3 linked regions of the Schizosaccharomyces pombe genome follow. The protein of the gene in region 3 interacts with the protein of the main gene of each other region in a biochemical or structural test. Each region holds a gene or a part of one and is shown on either strand. Other genes may lie near its edges.

What was found.
Region 1: the proteins of mid2 (region 3) and spt20 form a complex in vitro, tested with the Schizosaccharomyces pombe proteins (one study listed by BioGRID).
Region 2: the proteins of mid2 (region 3) and spn2 form a complex in vitro, tested with the Schizosaccharomyces pombe proteins (one study listed by BioGRID).

What each region holds. Positions count from the first base shown.
Region 1 is NC_003424.3:5,366,993-5,377,531, reverse strand, and holds spt20 (SAGA complex subunit Spt20), read left to right. Parts: upstream 1-5,687; 5' UTR 5,688-5,761; coding exon 5,762-5,909; exon of another isoform or gene 5,910-5,991; coding exon 5,992-6,978; exon of another isoform or gene 6,979-7,065; coding exon 7,066-7,352; 3' UTR 7,353-7,558; intron 7,559-7,749; 3' UTR 7,750-7,804; intron 7,805-7,845; exon of another isoform or gene 7,846-7,892; intron 7,893-7,972; 3' UTR 7,973-8,132; downstream 8,133-10,539. Other genes in the region: U1 snRNP-associated protein Prp40, read right to left, coding at 1-1,920; GTPase Fet5, read left to right, coding at 2,540-3,205, 3,251-3,415; protein new13, read left to right, coding at 3,896-4,120, 4,201-4,341; DSC E3 ubiquitin ligase complex subunit Dsc4, read right to left, coding at 4,328-5,029, 5,134-5,176, 5,231-5,331; translation initiation factor eIF2B gamma subunit tif223, read right to left, coding at 8,246-8,617, 8,689-8,831, 8,873-9,314, 9,441-9,711, 9,836-9,984.
Region 2 is NC_003424.3:983,557-993,565, reverse strand, and holds spn2 (mitotic and meiotic (sporulation) septin Spn2), read right to left. Parts: upstream 3,362-10,009; 5' UTR 3,317-3,361; coding exon 3,277-3,316; exon of another isoform or gene 3,228-3,276; coding exon 3,153-3,227; exon of another isoform or gene 3,095-3,152; coding exon 2,966-3,094; exon of another isoform or gene 2,855-2,965; coding exon 2,773-2,854; exon of another isoform or gene 2,711-2,772; coding exon 2,041-2,710; 3' UTR 1,815-2,040; downstream 1-1,814. Other genes in the region: DNA-binding transcription factor Moc3, read left to right, coding at 288-1,814; tif308 (translation initiation factor eIF3h (p40)), read right to left, coding at 3,878-4,818, 4,998-5,104, 5,144-5,169; cytoplasmic poly(A) polymerase Cid13, read left to right, coding at 6,819-8,555. UniProt on the Schizosaccharomyces pombe protein: Plays a role in the cell cycle. Involved in a late stage of septum formation leading to the separation of the daughter cells. Involved in the correct orientation of forespore membrane extension during sporulation. Binds phosphatidylinositol 4-phosphate.
Region 3 is NC_003424.3:4,745,601-4,756,410, forward strand, and holds mid2 (septin ring organizing protein), read right to left. Parts: upstream 5,854-10,810; 5' UTR 5,660-5,853; coding exon 3,539-5,659; 3' UTR 3,261-3,538; downstream 1-3,260. Other genes in the region: transcription factor TFIIE subunit Tfa1, read left to right, coding at 1-499; MAP kinase-interacting protein Sin1, read right to left, coding at 593-683, 723-2,606, 2,666-2,688; DNA-directed RNA polymerase II complex TFIIS subunit Rpb9, read right to left, coding at 6,084-6,134, 6,210-6,342, 6,385-6,434, 6,558-6,624, 6,692-6,732; pro3 (delta-1-pyrroline-5-carboxylate reductase), read left to right, coding at 7,194-8,042; sdu1 (PPPDE peptidase family protein), read left to right, coding at 8,583-9,188; proteasome assembly chaperone Ecm29, read left to right, coding at 9,407-10,810. UniProt on the Schizosaccharomyces pombe protein: Responsible for the proper stability and function of septins during cytokinesis.

The sequences.
Region 1 (10,539 bases), 620 kb from region 3:
ATCTTCGTATCCGCTATGTGGTCGGGCACTATTCGCTAAATAACTTTCATCTTTACCGACATCATAATAACCTCTTCTGTTTTGGTATTGCTTTTCCAATTCCCGTTTTTCTCGAAGCCGTCTTATATATTTGTCAAAAGCAGCCATCCTGTGTTCCTCGGAATGGAGCGCAGCAAATTCCGGTAGAATAGAAATTAAAGGTCTAATTTCATCGTAAGAAGCATCGGCAGAAATTGGAGGTTTAAGGTATTTAATGGCACTTCTGAGATTATCAATTTTCCTTCGAATGCGTCGTTCATCAGCACGCTTTTCCTCAGCTTTTTTGTGGATCGCTTTATCACGTAATCGATTAACAACTTCTTCAATAAGGTCTTCAGTTACTGCCTCACTTTCCTCTCGATCTTTAAGCTTTTCTGATAACCTTGCTATAATTTCAGGAATATTAGATGTGTCATCCACAGATATTTGCAATACTTCAAGACAGTCCAAAACCAAATTACGCTTTTCCCGATACATATTCTCCAAATCAACGATCGTATCCCAAAATAAATCTAATGGTGTAGAGCCAGATTGCCCTAGTAAGTTAAGATATCTTGGATCATCCTTGATTATGGGATATAATTCTTTCCACTTCGTGCGTAATGTAATCTTCTTTTGCACGCGTAAGTCTTGTAATAGCGCACGAAAGGCATCACGATTTTTCCTTTCTATACGATGCTTTTCTTTCTTCTGCTTTTGTTTGTCAAGAATATATTCGCGTTCCAAATGCTTAACATGATCTTCAAATGCTACAAGAGCATCTAATTTAGAAAGATATTTCATATTTGAATTCCTTGTATACCTTGGATCTTGATCAAATTTTGCTTGCGCAACGCTCCAGCGGGTGTAAGGCTCGAAATTCATGTTTCGCAAAAGCGAACAAAAATCATCCAATGCTTCCTTTCTGCGATCCTTTTCCAACTGCTTTTCATCCTCTAAAAGCTTTTGCTTATATTCAAAAAATAGTTGTTGTTGTTCAGTTTCAGAAGAAGTAGCGTTAAAAGCAGGATGAGAAGAAAATTCATTCTTCACAGTACGCCACAAAGTATAAGAATGAATTTTATCACTACTTTTTAGCATCTCAATAAACTCCTTCCTAATCTTAGTTACTCGGTTCTTTTCTGCATCACTTTGATCGGTCAAATAGTTTAAGATGTACGCATCGAAAGCACATTTCCGATGCCAAGGATCCTTCATGACATAATAGCCCTTAGCATCACAAAGCTCTCGGACAGTCTGCTCCCAAGTCCAGCTTGGGTTGACATTATGAGAGTCTAAAAATTTAAAGAAAGCGCGCTCTGCGGCTTCATAGGTATCATAGTTTTCGTGCTGATAATCATTAGAACGTTTTTGGCGCTTATCCTTTTGTTGAACAAAGTTTATAGTTCGTTTATGACTGCCTTGTGAAATTTGTTGGCTTTGATCTTTAGCTGGTTGACTTGAAGGAGCAGCAACATCCGGACCATGCCGTTGAATGCTTTGAACAGCTGGCTTGTTGTCATTGCTTTTGATTTTAGACGACAAAGCCTTTTTTTGCTGTTCCGGTTCATCAACAAGGGCAGCTTTATATTCATCAGGAATATCCCACACTGATTCACGGGTATTGACATTATACCAATACTTTTTGCCATCAGCGGTGGCATATTCTTTCCAAGCTAGTTTCGAAAGCTTTTTTTCAAAGTCATTCATTAACTCCTCTGGTTTTTCCCAAACACTTTTGCGCGTTACTGAGTTGTAGTAATAAACTCGAGAATCTTCTGTCTTCACTTCATGCCAGTCAGAGGCCACAGTCTTGGAAGGAGCTGCTGACGGCCCTTCCTGATTAGACGTGAATCCCTCAGTTTCATCGTACTCTGAAGTTTGCCATGGAGGTGCAGACATCTTCACATTTATGAATAACTCCCCTTAAAATTGGGGTTGTGGTTTAAGCCAGCGTGTAGAGTTACACTCACTGTTCACTACAAACGGGTGTGGTGGTCGAGTCTATATGTGGGGGACTCGTTGTTTCACTGTATTATCAACTACGTAATATCTAATTGATAATAGAGATACGTTAGACTGTGGTCAGTTTAGAATACATTTACTATATTGTTGTAAACAGGTCTTGAGAATAACAGACTTCAAAGTGAGTTAATTTACAAGCGATGCTATAGCCGTTGCTAAACAACTTATGACTGAGTTGAAATATGGAGTGAGTTAAGCTGTATCAAGAGAAATTAAACTAATTTTATACAAGAAGTAGAAAAAGCTATATTGACATCGTACTTATATTAGGGGGTATTCAAAAAAATGAATGTTTTTAGTGACGTTTAACGTAAATTCTGCAAGACTTAAAGATTTAAACAGAGCGTGTTATTCACAGTTAAAGTATTTGTTGTTAAAAGTCAGTAAAATACTTAGGGCATCGCATGGCGAGTTATAAGGGTGCATACGGGCACAGGTAAGAAGGCATAGGATAAAAGAACACGACGTTTCAAAAGACGTTAGTCTTTTTAGAAAAATGGTTAAGGTGGCAGCTTTTGTTTGTGGTGTTGCCAGCAGTGGTAAAAGTACGTTTTGTGGAGCATTAATGTCTTATATGAAAAGCGTTGGACGTTCTTGCCATTTAGTTAATTTAGATCCTGCTGCAGAAAACTTCGAATGGGAACCAACTGTTGATATTAGAGACTTAATATCCATTGATGATGTTATGGAAGAGCTGGACTACGGCCCTAATGGTGGGTTAATTTATTGTTTCGAATTTTTGATGGAAAACTTAGATTGGTTAAATGAAGAAATTGGCGATTACGACGAAGACTATTTAATTTTCGATATGCCTGGACAAATTGAATTGTATACTCACGTACCAATTTTACCAGCATTAATTCGCCATCTTCAAGTAACCCTAAACTTTCGTCCTTGTGCTGTCTACCTGTTAGAAAGCCAATTTCTCGTTGACCGTACAAAGTTCTTTGCGGGTGTTTTAAGCGCAATGAGCGCAATGGTTATGATGGAAGTCCCGCATATTAACTTATTGAGCAAAATGGATTTACTCAAAGACAACAATAACATTACAAAAGCGGAATTAAAAAGGTTTCTCAATACAGATCCACTCTTGCTCACAGGTGAAATTAACGAAACAACAAACCCAAAGTTTCACGAACTTAATCGGTGCATTGTTCAACTGGTAAGTCACAGAATCATAATTCCTCGAGCTTCTGCTAATGACTAGATTGATGACTTTAATATGGTCAATTTCCTTCCTCTTGAGAGCGGAAACGAGGAAAGCGTAAGCAGAGTACTTAGTTATATTGACGATGCTACCCAATGGTACGAAGATCAGGAACCAAAAGATCCTGATCGGTTTGAAGCAGATGATTTAGAAGACGATGAATAGGGAGATACACGTATAGAAGGGTAAAAATTTTGGAACCGGTGCATAGATTCTTATGATGTTAATGAAAGTCGAAGAGTTTCAACGTTTGCGAATTTTATTTATAAATAGTTTGTAATTTGACACATCTCATTTGTAAAGTTTTAGCATAGTAGTTTGAAGAAAACAATTAGATATTTTTTTGTTTAAATATAAATAAAATGTTTTGTAGGAACTTGAATGCATTTACTGATTATACAATTGATGAGTACAACAATGGTTTTAAATCCGGTTCCAACAAAGTACACAGTACCAACAGCACTATGTGAAAAATGGTTTAAATAAGAAATGGCTATTCATTAACTAATCATGTACAAACAATGTAATCAAAAAGCTTTGCTAAAATTCGGCATAGAATTCTTTAAAATTGTTTACCGAGAATTTCCGTACGTAAAATGAAGTGAGTGACATGCAAAGTCATCAGCCAAAGCCAAATAATCAATTATGGGACAAGTACTATCAATATGTAGTTCCAAGTCAAAGGAAAAAAAAGTGGTGAATGAAAAACCAACTGTAAAACCAAAGCCTGCAGTGAACGTTCAAAAACCAGCAAAAGCCATTACGAAAGCTAGCTCACCTCCGCGTACGGGCAGAAAACTAGCGGAAACCGGTAATACATCAAATAAAGAGCATTTATCCCCCACAGAAGCAGCCCGAGTTGCAGCTGAGGTAATGAATCTGACAAAAATAAATGAAACCCAGATTTTACATTATTGAGAATCATTGAAGTAACTAACTATTTTTTTTAGAAGCGCAATATTGAGAAGAAAAAGGGAAATGGAAAACTCGGTAGGCAATTGGAAAAAGAGCGAGCAAAGCCAATGAAAGAGCATCTTCAAGACATTTCAACACAACGACAACAAGAAAGGGAACAAATCAAATGGGATTAGTTAAAACAGAGTTCGGTACACCTGTGGTGTTGGAAGATAAAGGCGAATTGTTAATAGAATTTGTATTCGCATTTTCAGTAGCATACTGAGACTTCCATACCAAGTCTTTCCAATCCTCCGAGTCAACCTCAATGCAAACAGGGGTAGAATAAGAATCTGCTGATTGCCTCTGGAGGGGAGTGTTTCTGTTTTGTGGAGAACCAAACGATAATCCGTGTTGAAAGGAGTATAATGAATGAGAAAATCGAGCAATCAACCTTGATCGTTCATTCTCTAATTGCCGTTGCAAGTCTTCTTGCCTTTGCCCTTGCTGTGTATCACGGGAATCCTCTGTTATGAGATCAGATGGTTCCTCGTCTCCGTCAACATTGGAAAGGCCCGACTGGGAAGCTTGAATATGAGATGCTTGAGTTGGGCGTTTGTTTGAAGCAATTAGAATAAGCGCCATGAATATTTGTAGACAGAAAAGTACAAGATCGGACGTTATAAAATCTATACGTGAAGATTCATTTTTTTCTCCAATGAAATTGATAATAGAGCCACCATACAAATATCCATCCAAGCTTTCTCCTGCAGTAGGCAAATTAAAGAACATACGCACCATTAAAGATATTAGAAAATTAAGCAGAAGCGGATAAAAAAGCGGTAGAGCGTTTAACTGAGAGAAAGGTTTGGGGGTAAGGTAGCTCTAGCAATTTATGTTAATACATGACTAGAAAAAAGCAAAATCATGAACATAGCATCTCTGGCTTTTGTATAATGAAAAATAAACTAAATACTGGAACAACTTACCAATTGAACAAAAACCTTGAGTAACAGCAAGAGAACTGTAGGGCTGACAAGAATTAGATTAGTGATTTCTACTATAGAATCCAGAAATTTTGCTTACTCTTGAAAATATTGTTGAGCTATAATTGCATAACACAGCATATCTAGCGATCGAAAAAAGCTGAACACTTCTCCCCGCTGATCTAAGACAATAGTGTCCATGCCTAATTTGTAGAAAAGTAACACAAAACAAGAATACTTTTGAGAGTATCAGAAATTACAGCTTTAAACAAAATCAATGAAAACTTTGTCAATTTCAAATATTTAGATATTAATTTGAGTCAAAAGTAAACGCAGAATGAATCATGCCAACAAGAACTTGCTGCGGTGGAGGAAAACGATAATGCCAGAACTGCTCAAGCTAGAGGCTATTTTGGATTAGGGCTTTGAAGCGCGTAAACTGCAAAACTATTAACGAAATCTTGAACTTCGATACCATTAATAACGCATCATTACATTTCGTTATGTGAGCAAACGCTTCTATCTATCTAACCTAGTAGGATTTGAAGAATTTAACCAGCTTATAATTTTAATTGTAAACATAGGGGGAATATTGTTTTACAATTACTGGTATAGTTCGTTGAACTAAGAGATGGAAAGAAATAATGGTTTGGGCGACTATACGTATCGCTATCATGGGAAGGAATTGAGTTTGGACGATTTTCAGAATAAACAAGGAATTGAATCCTCAGATGATGCATTTTTATCAAAAATTTATGAAAACGTTTCGAATTTTAATGGTAAGTAGTGTTGAGGAAGTTTTGCTTCTTTGGTTTTTTTGCGTATTTGATTTTATCGACTCTAACTGACATAATACTCAAGTTCCCAGAAAATTGCATGATATTGAACATAAATTTTCGAAAGAAGAGCCGAGTTTAATTCTTCATATTCATAAATTTCATTTTCGGTTTGAGCAACAAGATGGCGCCTTCACCTATAATGGGCCGGTAAAATCAATTTTGCAATATATAAGGATGGAGCTTATACCACCTGATTGTCTTGAAGTATTTCGGAATTCCGATGTAAAATTCTATGATGGTTGCTTAACGGTTCGTATAATAGATCATCGGCAAAGTCCTTCTGCTGATCAGACTGTGCAACCTCAGCCTGGCTCTACTAATCAACAGCAGCAAAATAACACCAACCCAATTAATAATCAACCTGAAGATACCAAACCCAATACTAATTCACCTCCAGTGTATCATACAGTTCTTCGTCCTACTCCCGAAACACTTTGGCAAGATTTATGTTTACTTTCAGAAAGCTTTGCTAACTCACTTTCGGATGAAGCTGTTTTGACTTTGGAATCCAACATTCTACTAGCGTCAGAAGCTCCACTTTTCTTAACTCCTGCGAAGTCTAAAGCGGAAATGATTCAATTTATGAACCAGTTGGCCGACTCTGCACCACCATGCACCAGAAAGAAACCTCAAGGATCAGCCCAACTTGCTGATGAAGAAGCAGAAAGACTTGAAAAAGAGAACCTTTTGTTACTAATGGATGACCAAAGAAAACGCGATTTTCAACCTACCTTTCAAAGACTACAATTTATTGAGAATGTGCGGCGTAAACGAGCTATTCTACAACAAAGGCAAATGCAAATGCAACAGCAACAAAAAGCGCAGCAGCAGCAATCACCGAAAGCTCAGCAACCACCCGCACATTTGGTTCAGTCTGCTCCAGTTCAAAGAAAAACTACACCCAAAATCCAACGTCTACCACCTAGTAGTATTCAAATTCCCCCTCCGAAACCTATGCAGAAATTCCCAGCTAATGCGGCATCTTCTGAATCGCCCCCCAATGCGACTGGTAAGTGTATTAAAGGCTTATTTCAGTACTTTTTGAGTTCAATTCAATTTTATTTTAATTTTGTATTTATTTTTCTAACAGCTTTAGGAAACTTTTTACCTTCGGGTCCTGTACCTGCAAATGAACCTATGTTAAAACGAGAATCCGTGGATTTGATAAAAATACGACAACTTGCAATTTTGTTTCAACAGCGTGCCTCTCAATTAAAAGCTAGAGGTGCTACACGGGAACAAATTACTGAAATTCTGAATCGTCAAGCAATAGCCGCTGGTACTGATTTGGCAACAGTAATGACGGTTGCACGAAATCTTCATTTTCAACAACTCCAAATGAGACAGCAGCAACAACAGCAGCAAATGAAGGCTGAAAGGTAACTCTCAAATGCTTCATCATTTAATACACGAATTTAGTTTTTTATTTATTATTTTTAAAATTTTATTTTTTTTGTTGCATAAATACGTTTTTTTACTTCACTTCATTTTCCTCTATAAAAACTTTTTTGCTCATGGAACAACTTGGCGTTTTCACTTACCAGTGTGAGATATGTAATGTAGCTGTTTCTAATAACACCCAGTTTTAGGTAAGTAAAATTAATATGTTATTTGGATATTTTTGTATGATGACTATAATTTGCGATTGAGCGATGGTATTGCTCGGGATCTTGCCTGATTCCCATATGGGCTCCATCAGTATGCGACAAATAATCTTCTGATTGATTTCCATTACATCAACTGCTTTTGTTAATACGAATACCTTGCTAACTGTTTTAAGTTTTAAATATTATAATAATGGAGTTAAAGAACGTCCTGTTTTTTATGAACGTTAGGTAAGGCAATTTAATTTTCAAAACAAATAACCGTTCTGCTTTGCAATTGATGAAATATTTGCTTATGATCAATAAATGATTCTTTTATTATCACCAAGATCGCTGAGTGCTAAAGTTTTTGGTTATTTTATTTGTTTTAAATATTTTCGAGTTATTACTAACCCATAGCGATATGAACTTTTTTAGATGTATATGTGTATAACCTTGTATATATGTATAACTTTTTTGCATATATATGTACATGCGTTTTCATCTGTAATTTATTCCCCTTCGCTTTTAGCTAATATTGATCTATGAGTATATATTTTTAATCTAAAAATTCCTGACTAATATCACCTTTACCTTGATTAGTTTAGACACACTTTGTAGAGTAAGTGCACGAAATTTTTATTATATCTATTTCAAAAAAAAGGTTGGCTGACAACGGTTTGATACACAGTATTAGTCCATGTCCGTCTCAATTTTTTCCATATCAACCAGCCGCTCACCCCGAGCGATACGGCCAGCTTCAACGCGATGATCAACGCCAATTTCGCATTCACGAAGTTTTGACTTAGCGCCTATTTGAGCACCTGAGGCGACTATGCAAGATTCTAAACGTACTCCGTCTTCAACAACAATGTTGTCCATCAAAATAGAGTTGCTGACCACTACCCCTTTTCCAATTACACAATTTTTACCGATAATGCTCTTTTTAATGTTGCTGTTATCCTTAATGGTGGTACCTTCATTCACCATACAATCGGCACCGACCAGTGCTCTTTCGGACACGGTGACATCTACAAGGCGTTGTTCTGGAGTAAGTTTGGCGATCTAGTTTGCTGTTAGAGATATTGGATGAAACTGCTAAAAAGCGAGATGAAGCTCAGCTTTCGAAAACATACGCATTTATTAAGTTCGAAATAGTTAGGTAAATTATTAGCCCTAGAACAAATAATCCCATCTTTGGCAATTAAAGCATTAATTTTAATTTCCTGTGAGGATAATCCCCCATCATAATTATCAATATTGTTAGGAGATGACAAAACTTTAATTGTTAGAAAATAGTTAATTAAAAAAAGCACTTACATCTTTGAATGTTCTCTCGTACAGTAAAGGATTTCTGATATTGACATTTAACAAGATACGGGATGAGATCTCCACGAATGCTAGAAATAGATTCTTTCTCCCGGATCAAATCAATAACCCAGTGTTTAAATACAAATATATGGGCATCCGAAAGGTTTGTATTTAACGTAACCCTTGGGTGTTTCCACAACAAAGACATTCTAAATGTAAAATCACTGCCCACGTCTGCGGAACTTTTGGCATACAATAGTCTGCTCGTCTTCTCTTCAATTCCAATCAGTTGTTTTGCATCAATCTCTTTAGATTGACTTGTAATATGCTCATATTTTAACACTGGACTATATACAGCCAGTGCTGAAGGGTTATCAAGGCGAAACTTATCCAAACCGTATATGGGAGGGAGACCAACTATACTATCACAACTGAGACACACAAAGTCATTCTGGTGGGTATCGGTTAGCATTTTTTGTGACTTTAAGACGAGTAATTAAATTGCAGAATGAGAGAGAAAAGATCAAAAAGTCTAAGAACACATGCATATCTACTTATACATAAAAATAAATCATACCTTTATAAGATGGGATACAGCACGAAGAGCATCGGCAGAGCTTTTAGAATCATCTAAAATAGTCGGTGCTTCCACGTGAATACGCATATGTCCCTCGTAGCCAGATCGTAACCAAGCATTGATATGGGCTTCCGCTTCTTCCATGCAAATAAGAATAGCAGAAGTAAATCCAGCAGCTTCAAGCCAATATAATGGGTAGTGAAGCATCGGTTTATTGCCGATAGGTAATAAAGCCTTGGGAAGTGCATCGCTTCCAGTCAAAGGATATAAACTAAAACATGGTTAGTATTTTCTTATTGTTATTTTATCTTTTTTAAGTGTTGATGAAGATAATATGTGCGAAGTCATCATTATCCAAATCGTTAAGTAGTCAGTACTACACTTGTTTGTTTTACCTATTGCCAAATCCTGCAAAAACAACAGCTTGAAATTCAATCGGAATAGACTGTAATTGAATATTCCCCCGATTTCGTCCACCAGAAATAGGTCCAAGGATTGAAGGGCTACTGGCTAAAGGAAGTGCAGCATGCTCATACAACGACATTGTGAGATGTTGTTCTTCAAGGCGTTGGATGCTTTTACAAAAGGTTTTTACCTAAAAGGATGCTTTGAAGCCAAAATCTTTTATAACCTGATAGAAGACGAATTATTGGGTTTTTTTGCAGTACGCCAATATTTGATGAAGATGGAAAACCTTACTTTCCTAGATCCCTACTAACGAGCCAAAAGTTTACACGTTACACATCACTATCTGAAATAAAAATGTGCTGAATTTATATTTGTGTTTAGAAAAATGTATTCATGAAATATGAACTATTGATGATTTTTTTTTAAAATGATTTACCAACTCAAAATGTGGAGCTGCTTGAAAACTAATTATTGCTTTGCACTTGTAATTTTGTTTAATGTGCAATATTAAAAAAGATGTTTTAATAATCAACGATTTATAAATCGGTACGTTTTCGCGATCCTGGTTTATAATCAATCCGATAGTAAAAAATATCAATCAAGCGCTCAGAAAATGATCCTCTGTACACCAATTAAGGAACAAATATTTGAAGCCGGTTAGTAAACTATTATTTTGAGGAATCAGAAGATT
Region 2 (10,009 bases), 3.8 Mb from region 3:
TTCATATATATATAATTATAGAGTTAGTAACGCTACCTTTTTTAAAAAAAAGACTACAAAGAGTTTCTTGGCCTTTACGAAAAAGGTGCTTAGTTTCCTTGTTAAATTGGAGCTTAAATTTTGTATAAATCGGCTTCCAATTTCATGTTCTGTGCTTGCGTTTTTTCTTTGCGCGCTTTTCTCAAGCAGCGTAGCGTTTTCAAATCGGGCTTTCTTTACTTTTGATTTGTTTAGTTCCTATTATCTTGTTATTCTTTTTTTTTCTATCTATTGTTTCCCTTGCAGTTATGAACCCGTATGTTTCTTATCCCGAAATTCATATGAAACGGAATAGAACGGGTAGTATTAATTCAAATCCGCTATATATTCCCAACCCAAACGTCGAGCCTACGCCCAAGCCCACAAAAAGAAGAACGAAAACTGGATGTTTAACATGTCGCCGTCGCAGGATCAAGTGCGACGAAACCAAACCTTTTTGTTTGAACTGCACAAAGACAAATAGGGAATGTGAAGGTTATCCAAATTCAGCTGCTCAAATGCAAGCCATGGGGAGTGTATCGCCTCCTGAGCTAAGCGTTCATTCTGCTCAACAGCCATTGATACCTACTTCAATTGCTTCAAGTAGCGCTCAAACCGGAGACACTTTTTCCGGCTCTTCACAATCCAATTTTAATACAAATGATCTTAATCAGATGACCTCCTCCTCCAATTTATCCACCGTTACCCCAATCAAACAGGATCATCAAAAACCTATGAATTTACAAGGATTTCCAAGTGCTTATCAACAGCATCAATACCTTCAATCCAATCATAACGTTCCTACAAATAATTCTTCTAGCGCTACTTCGTCTACAAAACCCTCTGTACAATCGGTGGGTCAGGCCTCTTACCCTTTTCTTTCATCAGTTTCCAATTTCCCTTCAAACTTTAATTCCGAACTGTTTCCGTTTTATTTTCACGATGTCGTACCTTCTATTTGTGCATTTGAATTTGATAATAACATAGCCTTGCATTTTTGGTCAGTCACTGTTCCCCAGTTTGCTCAATCGATGCCTTGTATTGCTAATTCTTTAATGGCTTTTGCGTCTATTAAGAAGCTCGACGTTTTTGGTGCTTACAGTCATTTGACCAGAGCTCTTCGCTGTCCAATGCCTGGTCCCAATTCTTTTGAATACCTGTTGGTTTCTGCATTTTTGACTCTCACTCAGCTCAATCTCCCAGCCTATGATCTCAATTTTTGTAATAATTTTATTAGAAAGTTAAGTTGGTCTTCGTCTACCAAATCAAATTATGTCAGCTTATTGATTGCTATGGTCGTTCGTGAACTAGTTTTTGCAATTCTTCCTCGTGGGTGTATCTGGGGGTTTAATGGAAAGCCTTTATCGGAAGTTTCTGTTTCTCGAAGTCATGCACCTGTTTCGGATTCTTTGTTTACTATTGGATTGGACATTCTCTCTCAACCAACCTTGTCTGATGATTTGCATCGAGAACGAATGGTTGCTTGGCGAGATGAATATCATGTGCACTTGTATTCAGCATCAAGAAGTCCTCTTACTAAAGTTATAGATTGTGTAGGACATGCCGTTACCAAAAACAATAATGACGTTCTTTCTGGCTTACAGCAATTAATGCAAGAAGAATGCACAGATATTGCAGTATTACGCACTTCCTATTTATGCGTATTATCTCTACAAAATGTTTTTGCATCAAACTCTAAAGAATTTAAACTTCGGGCACAAATCGAATCTCATTTCGGAAGATTGATGCTAGAACATTTTATGGATTGCAATGTCTTAAATCGACCAGTACTTTAATTTTAAAATCATTTTGATGCTTTTCAATAAATATTGATATAGAACTGTATAATAGCTAGACAAAATCACGCATCAAACATATAATCTCTCGTTAATAAGATAAACACTTCATTTGTAAGATTCGCATAGTGTAAAAAGAGCCGAAATTTACGAATTACGGTACGACAGTCATACAAATGGTTTAGTCTTTGTTCTAAACATACTATATATTACCTTAGGAAGAAGACTATTGAGCGGTGGCTGTATGGAGATGTGGTTCAGAAGGGTACACAGGTGCGGGACTTCCCATTCTAGTTGCGAGGGAAGACTGTTCTTTTAAGCTGCTCAATTGCTTAAAGCGGAATTTCTCGTAATGATAGTATGAGGTCGTTTCAATTAAATCTTGAAGATGAGTTCGCATCAAAAAGTTACGAAGAAAAACAAACTCGCAGTGGTTTTCATCATCCACATTGACAACCCCCCATCTGTTTTGACGACCACGAATAGGCCTTCCATCTACGATAATGGCTTTTTCGGAACCGACCACGGCAAAAGGAATAAGATTTCGGACGGCAGCATTTAGATTAATTTCCTCCTCATCGGCGTCATCAGAATCATAAGGATACAAATTGATGTCGTGTTTAACAAATTCTTCACGGATTTGCTGCTTAAATGCTGCTCTTTCTTCAAGAGTCAATGAATCAGACTTAGCGATAACAGGCACAACATTTACGACTTCTGTTAAGCGTTTGAGGACAGCAATATCAATAGGGCGCAAAGAATGTCCAGTTGGGCGAATAAAGAATAAACAACAATGTACTCTTGTGTCTTGTAGACGTTTCTCGCGATGTGAATTTAATTCACGACGAAGATAGGAAGAGTGTTGGTCCCTAATGTACTTAATTATAGGCTCCCAGCTATTATAGTTAGAAATTGCTGTGCAGGAATAGAAATTTCCATTTCCACTGATCAAACTTACCATTTATCGTTATTAATTTGATCTCCATATCCAGGAGTGTCGATTAAATTTAATTGTAATTGAACACGGTTCTCGCGAACGACTATGTGGTTAGCAATGTAACCATAATAAATATAAGGATTGCTGACTCATTGAAGCCAGCTCAATGAGTTCAATCAAAGATGAAAACCTAACTATAAAAAAATCAACATACCTTGGCTTGTAACATGGATTTCAGTTGTCTGGCGATAAGGAGCTTGGTAATCCAGACGACCCTTACTGTCCATCAAGTGCGCAGAGAATAAAGTATTAATCAAAGTGCTTTTTCCGCTACCTGACGGTCCTATTTGAAACTGTTAACATCATTATAATTGAAAATCTGTAATAAAAATAATACGTACCAACCACCATTACATTAAATTGAAAACCACGACGAATTAACTTGCGGTTAATTTGCGAAGTGATAGAATCGAACCCTATAAACATTAGTTTTGACTCTTTATCAACATTCTTTTGTTTTCATACCCACATAATTATTTAGGGTAACTGCAGAAGGAACTTCCATTGCAAGTTGCGAATTGAATGAATTTGGAATTTGTTGGTTTTGGCCAAGTCAACATTGTAACGTGAAGCAAGTCAAAACAAACAAAAAGGTCTCGGCAATATTTACGATTTTTTTTTTAAATAATCTAACAGAGAGAAAACAAAATTTAACAATATATTTTATTAATAGAAAAGTGTTTCGATGTTGTATAAGGGCCCGAAAATATATTAAATTAGCAATGTAACCTAAAACTCGAATACGATAAACAAGTAGATTACCAGCAACTGAATGCACTATTGAAGATTAAACTGTTTCTTATAATTACAATCATGGTATATTTTTGCACATTGTATTTCAACAAACCAATATGCTGTATCAAGAAAACCAAAACAACTTTTATAATTAAGTAGATCCTTTTATTTTAATGCTACGAGGTATAACTAGTGAGAGTGAAGAAGAATGCTCCATTTTTTATAAACAAATACATGCAACCGCTTCACAGAGATCAAAGTCCTTAAAAATTTTCAACCAGATTCACAAATAATTAGCGCTAAATTTAAGCGATTATTACCAATCAGTAGCTTAAGAAGCATAAGCGTTTCGTACACCGGCAAGCTTAGACAAGAAAGCAGAACTTTGTTCATCTATTTGAGTAGACTTCATAATTTGAGAGCTAATCAATAGAGAGTCAAGAAGTCGAGGCTCCGCAGGGAGCTTGAAGATTCGCTTCCAATCGTCTAAAGGTAAAGGTTGTAAATTTTCGGCAGCACGATTTGCATTTTCGGCCTTACGCTTAGCAATCCACTGTTGAATTTTAGCTTGCTCTCTTGCGAGTTGACGTTGATGAAATCCAAGATTTCCTTGCTCATAATGAAACTCATCAGTAGACTCCAATAATAACTCAATATTCTTTCTATATCTGGTACCCAAACTAACCTCAAAGTTACTGAACGTTTCAGTCAAGGGTAAGTTGCTTTCACAATCTTCAAGAGCAGCTTCGGCGGTTAGGGTAGAAGCTGGAGTAGGAGGCTCACTAAGAGAGTGGAGCAAACAGGTAGCCAAATGAGAGTTGTGAATAACAATAGGAAGTTCACGGATAACATTGGAAGGAGTCAAGTTGTGGCTATTGAGGGAGGAGGCGGTCCAAGTTTTTTCCTCATGGGCAGCCATAAACTCTGGAGTTAACTGATAAGCACGCATGTACAAAGTTCCATTAGAAGATTGAGACAAATCATAAAGAAAAGCGATACTGTTGGGGTTTGCCTTTTGATAAGCATATTGCGTTTCTACAAAAAAGGGGCTACTTAAGAATGAACTAACATAGGCTCCCAAATACCAACCAACGTGACCAGTAACAGCACCAATGTACTGAAGACGATTAAGCATCGCCTCAGTATGAGCTTGGCGTGCTTTACCGGAAACAGACTTGTTAACAGCAGACTCTTCATTTTCAAGAACAGACGGAGACTCGAAGCTGCTACTGACTTGTAAAACACCATCAATGTCAATACCAACAAGCTGACCTGAACGAAAGTTAGTTAAAAATATTATTTCAAGAGAGAAACTGTGGTTGATAAGAAATTTCACTAAGTAGAGCATTACTGAGCTGACAAATGCATAGCTGCATCTTTGATGCAGAAAAATTGCAAGTTTTATCATTTCGAAAAATAGGGAAAACTTATTCTCCAATGACTACACTTACCAATTGTTCCCATATTAGGAAAAGAATCACGGCAGTGCTTGATGATATTCATTACAAGTAAAGATTCTAATTCCACCCGCTCAATAGGGGGAGACTCCAATTCTGGACTACTGAATTAGTTATTTATATATCTTAGTCATTCTTACACATTCAATGAAGTTGTATCAGACATGTTTTTTAAGTCTGCCAAGTAGTTGGTTGAAGTGCAAATTGCTGTACGAACTTCTAAAGGAGTTAGTGTTCACCAGTTTAATGACAAGTAACAACAAGTAGCAACTTTTTAAAGCCATGGCTGTCGGCGATTACAAGTTATAGAATAGAGGAGCCTACCAGTTTTATTAAACCTTTTCTAACTAGTTAAAAAATTTGTAAATTTTTTTTTTGTTTTCTCGGCCTTAAGCTCTATTTTCATGACTTCTTTTACTAATTTACCGAAATATGATTTTCATGCTTATTGTAATTTAAGAGCAGCTTCACCGCCTTGCAAAGTCTTTTTAATATAGTGTAATTGACACTGCATTATACTTGAAAGTTCAACATTATTCGTTGATTGGAAATGAATGTGACTGCTTTTCCGTTATATTTACTATATATACGGGTCATTATCCTCAACAAAACACTATCGACGATACTCCATAGGATCATTTCTATAGTATACGTCCGGCTTGGGTTTCCTAACCTAGCCACAGAACTCAACACGGATGATGATAGGAGGCACCGTTGCCCTCAGAGTGAGGACTTTTAATTCTTTGAAGGCATGCTTTTCGATTAGGTTTTTTACCTAATTGTTTTGCTGTCTTTCTATGCGATGATCTCTTACATGATATGTTTCCTTTTGGTCGTATTATGTAGGGCAGCTGGTGTTTTCTGACGTGTTTAATTTCATCTATTATATTACAACTGTGGTGTCGTTTGATGACATAGATGTAATTTCTAGATGAAGTTGTGTCATGTTTTAGCGTAGATTTTAGTGAATAAATGAAACGATTTCAAATTCCGTTAGATTGTTTGATTTATGTTTCTTATTAAAGGAGTCAATTGTATGGTATTTGGAGTTAGATGGATAGCTTACTTGGCGGCGTTTTTTATTTAATATTGTCTGCTGTACATTCGTTAGTAGTAAAGTATTACACGAACGTTTCCACTCAATTGGAAAGTCAAGTCCATGCTTTGTGGGAGCAACATTGATCATGTATGTTTATGTATTGCTAGTTTGTTTATAGAATAACGCAGATTACGGAATCACGCTATTTAACGTCAAAACGTCAAGAAAGGTGTCAATTATGCTCGTTGTCATGCCAACGTCATTGTTTGCGTTTTTTCTTTGATGATTACTTTGTTTATTGTTTTCAGTTGAAGATTGTAAAAATATCATTAGCTGAACGTTGCTTTAAAGGTGTCTTACGTGAATATATTAAGGTTACTTTATAACGGCGTTGTATATTCATTTGTTACTTATTTACCGATCCTATGTTGATGCCGTACTTGTTCCTTGTGTAGGAAAGCTGATACCTATGTACGTACGTATTGCTGTTAGGCGGTTCTTTTATCCCACACCTCTTCCTAAGAATAGCTACAAACATTACCAACTTCATATTAATTCATCAATACGATCTTGAAACTTAGAAGTACTTCTAAATTGTCTTTTCTTGTCGATAGGGCTCGTACATTTGAACTGTTCTTGCTGGATCGTTTCAGATCAAAGCTGATCATATTACAAAGAACTCACGCCTTTACTAGCTGACAAGGTAGGATAACGTCGGAATCCATAGAGAATTTGCAACTTATTAAACCTTAGAAGCTTCTTACCCTCTTAATACTATGGACAACGCTAATTGCGTTGGCGGTTGCAAATTTGAAACTCGCAGCTTTCAATATAGAAGGCGTATTCCTTATAGCCTCGGTGCGGATCCACTTCCGCCAGTACATCCTCTATCATTAAAGAATTTAGTTGATATTGATACTGATCTAATTTCTTCTCAACTGTACGAGTTGTATGACTCTATTATACTGAACGACTCGGGTTTAGAACGTCGATATGCATTTGTGCAGAAACTCGAACAAATATTGAAAAAAGAATTCCCCTATAAAAATATCAAAACCTCCCTTTTTGGGTCAACCCAATCTCTTCTTGCCAGCAATGCATCAGACATTGATTTGTGTATCATTACTGATCCGCCTCAATGTGCTCCAACGACCTGCGAGGTGTCAGCTGCCTTTGCTAGGAACGGACTTAAAAAGGTCGTTTGCATTTCAACAGCTAAAGTGCCAATTGTAAAGGTTTGGGACTCAGAATTACAACTATCATGCGATTGCAATATCAATAAAACTATATCTACCTTAAACACGCGTTTGATGCGCTCTTACGTTCTTTGTGATCCCCGAGTTCGGCCCTTGATTGTTATGATTAAATATTGGGCAAAAAGACGATGCTTGAATGACGCTGCCGAGGGCGGTACACTCACTTCTTACACCATAAGCTGTATGGTTATAAACTTTTTACAAAAGCGCGATCCACCGATTCTTCCCAGCTTGCAAATGCTTCCTCATTTACAAGATTCGTCTACTATGACTGACGGGCTGGATGTGTCGTTTTTCGACGATCCAGATCTTGTTCATGGTTTTGGTGACAAAAACGAGGAGTCTCTTGGTATCCTGTTCGTAGAGTTTTTTCGATTTTTTGGTTATTTATTTGATTACGAGCATTTTGTTTTATCCATTAGACACGGTACCTTTCTTTCGAAACGAGCAAAAGGATGGCAATTTCAGCTTAACAATTTTCTGTGTGTTGAAGAGCCTTTCCATACATCTCGAAATCTAGCTAATACTGCAGATGAGATTACCATGAAAGGAATACAATTGGAATTTCGACGTGTTTTCCGTCTTTTAGCGTATAATTGCAATGTCGACGATGCTTGTTCGCAATTTACTTTTCCCTCTCTAACTGACACAAGCTTTATGGACGATTATGTAAATGAACTACAATTGGAAATAGTTCCTGGTTTCTCCCATGGTCGTGACTCTTCGGACACCAGCTGTACAGAATCCCCTCCTGAGCCATCACATTTTGCTTGGGCCTTTGATCCTTATAATGCAACCGCTTCTCCCTATTATAATCAGAATATTAATTCATCCATTGACTACTCTTCTATATACTCAAACGACGTCCCTGCAATCCCTCCCAATGTCCCTTATACCTTTGTTGACCCTTACACCTATGCATGCTATATTAATAATAATAGCTATCTTCCACCCTCATACATGGACTTTTATACATGGTATAATTCTCCCTACCCCAAATCTTCACACCATTTTGATGAGAGGCATGGCGGGGATCGTCACGAAAAAAATTTGTCTAATTCTCGGCGATATTCTCGCAATAAGTTTCACAAAAAGAAGCAATCTTCGGGTCCATTCCAGTACTATCCTGATGCCTTCTCTTTTACTCCTACGGATAACAATTCACCTCCTTCAAATTCCTCTTCTTCTGAAGTAGTATCGCCAGTTAGCTTACACAGTGAGCCGGTATTATCCACAGTACAAGCATTCAAGAGTTGATGCTGAAGGTTTGGTGACGTTCGCTGATGGTTCGTTAGTAGCTATCTTTCTATCTTAATTTTTCTAATTCATACTTTTTACATTATTTTTGCATATTGATTTCGCCAATACTTGAGCCTTATTCGCTTGCCCGCTTTCGTTTATCTTTGTTGTCCACTTTACTTCTTCTTTTCTTTTTCCTTTCTTCCGTTATATTTAATGATAAAATGACTTAGGAAAGTTTTTTCATTTTATTATTTGCAATTTTTACTATTTACTATTGGTTTTCTGGTTATGTGTGGAGTTTTCGGCTCAATTATATCGTTTTACTATTTATAAAACTATTTTTCCCTTCTATTGCACATACGAAAAATTTTGTTGAATGTGCGTTTTCTTTGCGTACTGTTTATCGCGAGAATTATTTAAAAGCCTAAATTGTGTTCTTAAGTTCAGTGGAAACATTAGCATTTGTAAAGGTTGATATCTTGGTGGTTTTGCATATTAGCATTCACGAACTATCAGTCTTTTTAGGAACTATATCTTCTGTCTAGATTGCTTTTACTCTTCACTCTTATAAGTTTAATAACTTACAAGTACCCCCTATCCCTTTAATCATTTTGACCGTGTTTCCCCTTCCTCTACCTACAACAAAACTTCGTACTCAGTTTTCGTTGTCTTTACATTTTACCCGCCATTGATGGCTTGAATAGTGTTGTCAGAACATATTTTGTTTAAATTCTGATTTGGTTTAAAAAATGAGAAAACGCCAAAAATTAAAAAAAACACAAAGAATTTACCTACTATATGGTACATTTTGAGCTAGGAAAAATACTAGCAAGTCTTACGAGATGAACACTAATCGCTTTTCAGTTATTGAGTTTGCTAAGAAGTTTGGATTTCATCACGTTTATTTACATAACTTTTTTTTGCAATTGATTAGATCTCCTTGAGATGCTCCTTGTCATGGGAATAAATCTTATGCCATTGATTTTAAGCAACGGGTTTTTACATACTCTGTCGAAAGCCTGCACAGGAGTGAATCATCAACCCATTAATGTGAGTGCGAACAAAGCACTGGTATGAGTTGTACAGCATGGGAAAATGTTTTTTTTTATTTTTTTTTTTAAATATCTCTCCCCTGCTGAAATGATAGTTTGATTGATTGAATAAATCTTTATTTACTACGTTGCCTTGTTACCGTTGTTTTTTCACATATCCATCACACTTCACAGTGTTGATGGATTTACTTTAGTTTACCTAAAGCTCTGTAAATTTTTATTGAAGAGTTTGATGCATTGCATTAAATCAATTTGCATATCTTTAATTTTACATGACTTGCCTAACTTTTTTAACGATAGTTTTAAGGTAAAATGGGTTAAGCTCAATAGTGTTAAATAGCATAGTATAGCTTTTTGCGGATTAACAAGAGGTAAGCATGATCAACACCGTTCGATATTTAATGCGGTTATCCGCAT
Region 3 (10,810 bases):
TGCAACATCAACAATTTCTGGCTCCATTACTCGTGCTGGAGCTAAAGATGCCGCACTTCATAGTTTTAGAACTGAAACTGTTAATGAGGTTCAAGACACTAAAACAGATATTACTTCTGAAAAGAGCGCCTTAGATGCTTATTACGCAACACTTCGTGCAAAGCAAAAAGAGGAAAGCGAGTTTATGGACAGTGAAAACGTAGATGATGAGGAGGATGATGACTTCTTAGACGTTACGACGGCTACCTCTCTTCAAAACAAAAGTACTGATTATGGGTCGGTCAAGCGTAAAACCGAGAACCTAAATTCAGATAGTGATATCCAAAATAAAAGAACAAAATCGATAGAAGAAAACAATTCATTACCACCTATTGTTTCTACAAATGGTATTACTGATGGTGATACGGAAATGCAAGAAAGTAAAAAGAATGTTATTATTAATGGATTTAATGAGGACGATGAAGACGATGAAGATGAAGCTGATTTTGAAGATGTTTAATAAAAATGACATAGGGGAGAGAGCAATGTGATACCAAAAAACAAAGGTGTTTATACCTATGTATTCATAGAATCTTTTTGTAATAAATAAATGTTAATTTATTTTTTTAACAGTATTCATCAGTGCACGTATCCTGCTAACTATAATGGCAGCTTCCAAGGCGGACAAAACTTCAAAATCATACCTGAACTCGTTAGCTTATTAGCGTTAAAAAATTTCTTACCGCTTAGTTTCCCTATTCTTGGACACAATCATTTTAAAATTACATGGTGATTTTTTAGACTGCTTGCATAAAATAATCGATCCAGCATGTATACTGGACGTCTTAGGCGTTTCAAATATATTTTTGGATTCAGACGGCATTATGTGAACGTATTCTCCATCAATAGCTAGTAGACGCTCATGTCTTCCCATAAATGAAACAGGTTGTCGTTTCCATACAAGAAATTCTTGATAGGTATTGCTCGACATAATATCTGTTGCATTGTATGTTGAAGATTGTGCATCTTTCTTAATAGATCCATAAACGGAATTTTGTGGTGAGGAGGTTGGCAATTGTTGGGTACTTCCTTTTTTATCGCGTACCTTCTTTTTAACAAGTTCTAGAGTTGGATTTCCGTCTAGTGAACTAAATGTTTTATCAAGTGGTAAAACAGTATCAGATCCAGCAACTCGCAGAGTATACTTAAATCGCTCCAATTGCTTCATCCAACACACCTGGTTCAACACCATAGCCAATCTAGTAGTTTTTGATATTTCAATATTGCAAAATCGAGCATTATCCCCGTATGGGGGAAGTCGTACCTGTACGACATGAGAAGTATTAAGTGTATCTTTGACATCCTGAGCTTGCTTTTGTGATTGACTTGAAGTTGAACTAGTATGCCGAATATGCGTTTTGTTATTGGCTTCAGGAATTGATGTTGGATGCTTCGATTTAAACGGGTAGGCAGCTTGATTTTCCTTTATTTGGGCAGGAGTGGCTTTAACTAAAGCAAATGCGTCAAAACCAAATTTTGATAATGGACCTACACGGTCCAAAGCGGGAAAATCTTCATCTAGCTCCCCGTCATCTTCAACAATACGTAAATTCCAATAATTCGGATTTTGAGCCTCATCTTCTATTGGGGGCACGAGTTGCTGGTTAACGTATTGAAGTAAAATATAACCGATAGCCTCAGAGACCAAAACATTCTTTCGGAGTTCTACAAATAAGGGCTTTGAAGGACTTTCGCTCGAAGGAAAATAAATGTTTAAACGGAGGGCATTTGATTCTGCATGTCCAGAAAAAGTAGCAAAATTTTCAGCCAATGGCCCATTCTGGCTACTGTTTTCTTTATGTTCAAGTAATGCACGAAGAGCAGATGTAGGAGCCTTTGCGTTCGAAACAGATCTTGCTTTATTGACTGTATTGTGTGTTCCGCGTTGCTTACCAGGAAAAAGAGCATCAACCGCAACAACTGCATCAGCTTCAGTGTCAGTTAAGGAAGAATTCATTGGAAAAGTAAGAGGAATTTCTCCTTGACTTAAATGAAATGATTCCTCAGAAATCGACCGTAGATCATCATAATCCGTAGAAACACTGCTTTGCTGGTTTATGGAAGACTGTTTGGACGAGGTTAAATTCACTGCCTGCGAGGATTCTACCATGTTGGTAAGCTTAAGATTTGCGATAGCATCAATATTATTTAATGTGGAAATTTTGGGGTCCAGTCTTTCCTCTTCTTTTATACTTGCAACATCCTTCTGCATTGGGACTTTGCTAAAAGAAAATATACACGAGTTATCGTCATCACCCACATCTGAAGATTCGGATAAGTCAGAAGTAGCATAATCAGAATCTTCAGCTCGAGAATGATTAACTTGACCCCCAGCACCATTTACTTGTTTAGTATCACTCGGCTTTCGGACATTGGATACAGTGTCATTAGCGACAATCGGGGGACTTGAAGAAAACGAAGTTTTAGAATAATCATAATCATGAATCAACAAGTCTTGCAATGATTTGTCCAATTCCCATTCCGGGGCCTCAGTAGATATAACTCGATTTTCGATTGAGTCAGGAAGTATATGAGAATATTGCATTCGCAAAAATGTTAACAAAAGACTGTAAAATAAACGTATTAGTTTGTATAAGTTTCATAGGAAAAAAAATAGTATCCTTACACTTTCTCTCTTGTTAATTCCATTCTGAGTCCTTATTATATCGCATTTACAGACTTTATAAAATATTTAATTTCAACGAAGTTTGAATACTTAGCGACCATACTTTTTATGGCACCTTAATATAGAAAATTTGTAAACTCAATTATGTGAAACGTTGGTGACGGACGCCGCGTGCTTTATTTCAGTTGCTATGTATCCCCCGCTAAGCATTTAATTAAGTGTTGGGGGTAACACCGTAAAGTACCACCAAATTTCAAAAGACAGCAAAATATGAACGAAACTATTAATTCAAACAGTTATTAACTGAAGTACAAAAACGCTAGACAATGAAAAAAAGTGATCTCATATACGTTTTAGATATTGCGAAACAGCTAAAAATGGTATTTGAACTATATAGCAATTACGGTATTAATTATTTACAGAATAATGTAATTAAATTATTGTGGAATTTTTATTTTTTGAAGTTTCTCAAATGGCAAGCTTACGACTTAATAAATTCACTCGACAACGCCAAGCTAGAGTATTTTAAGGAATTTGATTTATTTACAAAGCCAAGATAAACGTTTTGAGACAACTTATTTTGACAACGTTTCTTCGGATCAAGGGAAACTTTCAAAAATGAAGTATTTTGCAACTGAAGTATAAATATACATGGGGAGTAGTAAGTAATTGCTATCCGATTTTTAACAGCTTATATAAAACGAGCTCATTTCAACCGAATCTAGCTTCTCGATGGTAGATAAAATGAACATTATGTATTATGCGAGGGAAACAACAAAACCAATGAAAAATGCAAGACGATATAGATAAAGGAGAAGATAAAGACCAAATGTGATTTAAATAGAAAAAGTGAGGTCGAAGCAAATGGTCAATTTAAAAACTCAGCGAAAGAAATGATTTGGTCCAATTTTTGTGAACCATTGAACATTGCCCCAAATGCTGACGAAGTGTAGACATCCACTCATCTTTTTCGCCGACGGTTTCAGCGTAAAAATCGATGTAGTCCCCATTACTGAAAATGATACGGAAACCCGATTCGAAATACAGATACCCTTCTAGTTCTTCTTCATCACTATAATGGTTGTCATCCACGATATGTGTGGCTTCAGACAAATCAATCGTTGCTCTGCGAACTTTAGAGAATTGTTGAAAAGCTACTAACTTTGATCCTATTAATTGAAAATAGCGACGACGCCAATAAGGGCAATCCCCACCTTGTTGACATAGATAACCATCACACAATAAAGTTCTATCCCATTCAGCAAGCTTTAAGTCATACATGGCAGACTCGATTGAAGCGGGAAGTTCTTTCAGAGAGACAGGAAGCGCTGGTAAGAAAAATACGTGGATTTCGAGTTCTCCTACTTTTCGAGGGAGAGGCTTGACATCTTTAGCTGCCGGATCAACAGTCCATTTGTTCATGATTGGTAGAACCATAGATTGACAACGGCCTAGTGCGGTTCGGCTTACAGAATCAGTGTTAATGGTAACTTCGCCGAAAGTTCCATCTTCAGAAACAAATCCATGAAGTGCTTCTGAAACGGGGTCGGTAGTCATAGACTTTCTCTTATTTGTTGAAAATACTTTTCCAAGTGTAGAACGAGTGCGAACCTTAGGTGGATCGTAAGCCGCACGGAGCGTACATACAATTGAAGAACTAATACTTTCATCAAAAGTATACTCATTTTCAATTTTAGTAGTAGAGTGTAAGGCGTTCCATGGTACTTGAATGTGCTTACCAGAGATTGTATAAGTGAACCTAGTGGTCATCCCCGATGCCAAAGGAATAGTTAAGTTTCTGATTTCCATAAGACGGACAAACAATCTTCCACTCCCGCCGGTTTGTTGCAAACTACTGGACAAATTTCGCGATAACGATTCTGGCATATAACAAGAATTGACAACGCGCCGCGAAGTTTGCATTTCTTGTTTCTGACTAGTGGCATGTACAACTTTAGAATTCTGTCGTAGCAAATATGTCCTAGTCAAAGCGTCAAAGGCTGAAAGAACATTTGTAAAGCGAGGATCTGGTAAAGAAACCACTTTTGGAAGAAGCGGTATCGGAGCATTTTCGTCAAGAACATGAGGGGAATCTAAAGAGGTGATGGAGCTCGTAAGTGGCTCTTCGTATTCATGAATAGAATCTGAACGGTAGATATCAGTCCTACAATTCTCTCGGTTCTCATCTGCGAATGATAAGCGAGGAGGTGTCTTTATATCTTGGAACGAGGACGAATCTTCAGAGAAACCAAAAGATGCAATACTGTTTATACCTTCGCCAAGACCAACCATGTCACTAACACTGCTAACTATACTGTTCGTAAAACTAGTGTCAGATGAATTATGAGAGTGAGTAGGTAACTCAAGTTTGACAGGTGGTGAAATTGAAACTTCTTCAAATTCAGCTGGCAATGTGTCCTCGTTAAAAAGCTTTGAATTACAAACGGAACGAGCAGGATTTTTTTTAGGAATTGGTATGTCGCCATGGCCCTGGTTAGATGAATTACTCTTTATCGAGTTGCGTGGAGTCGAGCTACGACTGCTTTTATTTGAAGCCTCATCATCAGATAATTTGATCAAACATGAATCGTTCAATGACAGTATGTTCTCTTTGTTTACGTCTTCAACACTTGTACTACTACTATCCGTTTCATTCATGACAGAGTAAGTTGGGGTCCTACGAACTTCTGTAGAAAAAGGAAGAAGAGACTGATGATCATCAAAACTGGAAGAATTTGATAACGTTTGATCATAAGGGAAACTATCGCCATCTTCAGCATCCTCAGATTCAGCAAAAGAAGGGGCCGTAGACGAGATGTTACTGCGATTAAAATTTCTCATTGTACTTTCTCGAGATATCGATGCGATTGTAGAGGCATAGTCAGAACATTCGTAATCAGTACTTGGGATGGGAGAAGGAATTCTCAATGCTCTATGGATGTCAGCTAAATACATTTTAGCATGCTGATCCTGTTGAGAAGCAGTCATCAACATTATGGAAAGCCTTGGAATTTAACAGCTCTGCTGAAATTAGAATATAAAAAAAAATAAAGGCACAAAGAATTAAGGGTTTTTATTTAATTGGTATTCGGATTACAAGGCTATTCCGTATGGATTATTGTATACAAATAACTGAAACAGTTTCAGTATATTCCAGAAGGTACACCGAATGTGAAATAAAGAAATTCAAGTGTTTTGGTAGGCGCGTTGCTTAATATAAAGGAAGGAGGCGAGCATATGATTGAGAGGCTGGTAAATCCATTTTCGGCAAAGGTGGCTGGTATCACTCGAAAATCCAGTTTTCCAGCACAGAAGCGAGAGAGTGGTTACATCAAGCGGATCATTTAAACCGAAGTCTAAGAGCCATTGGTGGACGCAGCTAGTTTTACAATCCCTTGTTAGACCGAATTGTCGCATATTACTGTTCTTCAAAAGCAAATCCACAATGTACGCAAACATAAATCAGAGTCTAATTAAGTCAGTAAAATTGTTTTTAAACCTAAATATTAAAATTGTTTTCTCAATGAAACAATGCGAAACACACCATCATAGTATCACCCCGACGAGAATGAGTCTGATAAAAAACTGCTTCATGTTGATGACAACGCGGGCATTCTTTGTCTGATCTAGGTAAAGTAGGGTCCGTTGAAGCGTCGTGACTGACCGTCGTGTTTTCTCTACAAATTTAGTGATTATTCGAAGGATGAAATCTAACTTACACATTGGAGCTTTGTAACTCATGGCGATAAACTTTACTAGTAGCAGCGATCTATACAAATTAGCTGATGAGATATTTAAAACTTCCAAATGATGAGGAAAAAAGTAATCGAAAAGAACTTCGAATTTTTTTCTTGAAGTGAATAAACCCAGTAGGAGAAAAAAACAAGCTTACCTCTGAGTAATCACAATTACGACAAGCTAGCCTCAGAACACGATCCACTTTATCCTCTCTAGGGTACCTATTTATTTCATGTTAGTGTTTTCAAACAATTTTCAGTGTCATCTTTTTGAGAAACTAATCCGTACAGCATATTATTGCATTCTATACAATATTGAAAATTTGACATTTTAAAAAAGCAAACAAAAGTATTTTACTTCAACGCAATAAACTTTCAAAAGAACGTGGTGGTTAGTGGATATGGAAAATACAGTGGACAACAGCGTCCTGATGGTTCACATCTATAAGTTCGAAAAAGCTTTTGTTTATCTACAACGTCTCTACAAGATTTCGTTAAAAACTGTGTAGCTGCTTTAAAATTTATTTGCGATATACTTAATATTACTAATTATATAGAAGATATATTGACTTTAACGTGTAGCATTATTCAAACATGGACTAGTCCTACAAACTTGTAACATCATACTTCAGTATCTTACATTATGCACATCAGCGAGTAAAACGGTAATTTACAGTATGAGTTTGATTTTGGAATTAACGATCCCTTAGCATATGCTTTAGTCGAATTTATTTTCGCTTTAAAAGAAGACTACAAAAATAGTTAAACATTTTTAAGCATAACTTTAAAAAATGTCGGGGTTTTGTGTTCTTGGTTGTGGTACAATGGGAAAAGCACTTTTGACTGGAATCTTTGATTCCATTGCTGAAAATGGAAACGATGTTTCTGACGAAATTATCATTCCGAATAAGTTCTATGCTTGTGTCAAATTTCCTAAAGAAAAAGAGGATGTTCAAAAGCTTTTCGGAGATCGTGTTAAAGTTGTAATGGGGGCCAAAGAGAATGCCGAGATGGCTGCGATTAGTAACGTTTTGTTGTTGAGTTGTAAGCCTCAGGCCGCAGAGGATGTTTTGAATTCCCCAAAGATGAAAGAAGCGCTCAAAGGAAAATTAATTTTGTCAATTTTGGCTGGCAAGACCATCTCTTCATTGCAAAGTATGCTTGATGAAAGTACTAGGGTGATTCGCATTATGCCCAATACTGCTAGTCGAATCCGTGAAAGTATGAGCGTAATTTGCCCGGGACCCAACGCAACTGAAGAAGACATAAAGTTTGCTGAATGGGTATTCAATGGCATTGGACGTTCAATGAAACTTCCCGAAAAGCTTATTGATGCTGCTACCGCTGTATGTGGAAGTGGACCTGCTTTTGTTGCTACTATGATTGAGGCTATGACAGATGGTGGTGTAATGATGGGTATTCCGTTCCCTCAGGCTCAGGAATTGGCTGCCCAAACTATGGTTGGTACAGGTCGTATGGTTTTACAAGGTCAACATCCTGCTATGATTCGTAATGATGTTTCAACTCCTGCCGGATGTACAATTAGTGGTTTGTTGGCATTGGAAGATGGAAAAATTCGAAGCACAATCGCACGTGGTATAGAACAAGCAACCAAGACTGCTTCTGGCCTGGGTAAATGATACTAGCAAATTCATTTTGTGCTATTAAATATCCTGGTTCCAAACATGGATTTGTATATAAAATTCTTGGGTTAGTACTTCTGTTTCCTCTTTAAAGCTAGTTTCGTTATCTAGTTGTATTAAAGCGTTGTGACTTAGTTTCATTCAATGATTCCTCTGTTTAAGCTTGCAATTCTGTTACATTACTAATAATATGCGTATTCGAACAGCGAGATTATATTTCATTAACTTTTTAGAACGTTGTATGCAATTAAACCCATTTCATTGCGATTGCTATCGTAGTGAATTTAGCTAAAGGTATTCAATATTGAAGAAACGTACTATGTTTTGATTATTTTAACATTGTCATAGTCGTACCGATGTAAACAAAATCACCACCATAAACAGCTCCCGTATTTTAAATTTTTATCCTTAATTCGACTCTACTTTTTTTTATTAAAAATACTTAATTGTACAGGTATCGAATCTTAAAATTCAACCTGCTTAAGGAGGACCAAGGAAATTTGCAAGTTGTTCTTCGCCATCCGAACGTATTCGAATATGAAAGTATACATTAATGTGTATGATCTAATGCCAGACAGTCCGGTAAACAAACTAGCATGGACTCTTGGACTTGGTATTTACCATACAGGATTGGTTTTAGAAGGTAAAGAATATGCGTTCGGAGCACACGAAATTCCTGGCTCCACCGGTGTGTTTGCTACCATGCCAAGACCGCCTTTAGAAGGGTGTAGATGGCGCTGTTCTATTGCTTTACCTAATTGTACCCTCCCTAAACCCGACGTGGATAGAATTTTGATTCGTTTGAGTCAAGAATTTACGGGGTTATCATATTCTTTATTAGAGAGAAATTGCAATCATTTCACGAATGCTGCAGCAATTGAACTTACGGGCAGCCCTATCCCTTCTTTTTTAAATCGAATTTCTCGAATTGGATTGGCGTTTCCTACGATCACGAATGCCTTATTACAGCACGGTCAAAAAAATACATCCGACGTTGATGATTCCTCGGATTCTTCTTCAGATGTAGATGAAGAAACTTTAATCGTATCAAAAAGTAAAAAAGCTCATAAAGATATTCCTAAATTTTCCGCACCTCCTCCTTCTGCTGACCTCAATAACCTCATCACTGATTCACTTCCTTAAGTCGCATGCTGTTAGTCAGCCTTTTAACCTACGAAATACAACACACACATCCAAAATTGTAGATTTTATTTATGCCTTGTTCTATCAATTAAGTGTAAAGTCAATTTGGGACTTTTTTTTAATTACTTGCTTTCTGATATATATCTCTTTATTCATCTTTGTTTGGTATTTTATTGTAGAGTGTTTTTTTATTAGTGATTATAATTAACTCTACAATAATGGCTGAAAATGAATTGAGATTATTAAACAATGCAGAGCTGAAGCTCGCTCTAGCGGAAAGCGAGGACTCCTTTCAATCGCTTGTGTCAGTTTTTTTATGTCCGATTTTACTAAAACTCGATTCGCCTCATGAAAGTGTGAGAAACAAAACAATTTCAATTGCAAACCACATTATGACTAGGCTCAACAATAACGCGCAAGCCATACTACCTCTTGAAGCCTTAGTAAGCCAGTACGTTGAAGCAAATCAACCTTTGCGAAAAAGATTTCTCCTTGCTTTCATATCTATAGGCGAAAAAAGGATACCTTGTTCTGAAAATTTGGCCCTTCTCCAGATTTGTCTAAATCATGTCAATGAATACCCATTAGTATTATTGACATTGACAATTCGTTTACTTCGTTTTTCAAAGCCAACTTCGGCTATTACATGCTCTAACGATGTCATTTTATCTCTTTCTTCATTCTATTTGATTCAGAAAGATCAAAGGATTTTTAGTGACCTGCAATTTTCCCAAAAAACAGTAGATTACCGCTTGAGTCTGCTTCGGTGGATTCATTTATCTAGCTGGCCATCAAATTGGAAGTGGTTGGCTTACTTTTTTGCCTCTGCTGATTCTCATTCTGAAGTTGCCCGACTGGCAGATGAATTTACGCGTGATAGTGGATTACCTGATCTAGAGAATTTGTCCCACGTGAACGTTCTATTAGACATAGCGCTTGATAAGTTTCGAATCGAAGCTTTGCACGCAAACTTTTCTGTTTCCATTAGCTTAAGGAACAAGGCAATTCAGCATTTACTTAAAAGTAAAATTGCTGCGAATACTGACAAAGCTATAAATTGTATTGAATTCATTCTTGAAGCACCTCCTAGTATGCAACCCCGGTTAATACAGTTTACTCGTTGGGTAGTTGACAAAGCTGATCCAAATTTTCTTAAACCTAAAGCTGCGATGATATTGGAAAAAATTCTTAGCATCTTATCGAGTAATATAATTCAGAGTGATTTACTTAGAGGATTTTTATATACAACGATAGGTTTACTGACCAAGGTTGATAATCATCTGATTACTAATTCTTTGCTGACAAATTTATTGACCTCCTTACAATCTGAATTACCAGACGTACGAGTTTCAATTGACGAAGCTCTTTCTATTATTATTCCGTACTATAGTAATTTTCGATTTTCTAACGAATTGTTGCCAGTATTAGAACCCTTTATTTTTGATTCACCCGAGTCTCCTGCTGCGTATTGCGCACTTCGATTTGTATTGGTTGCTTTTCCTTTTGATTATTTGCCAGCTCGTTTTATTTGTCTAAAGGTACAAAATCCTTTCGTATTTCACCACTCTTTTATTGAAGAAGCTAAAAAAGGACTAAACTTATCTCAATGGGTTCAGTATAAT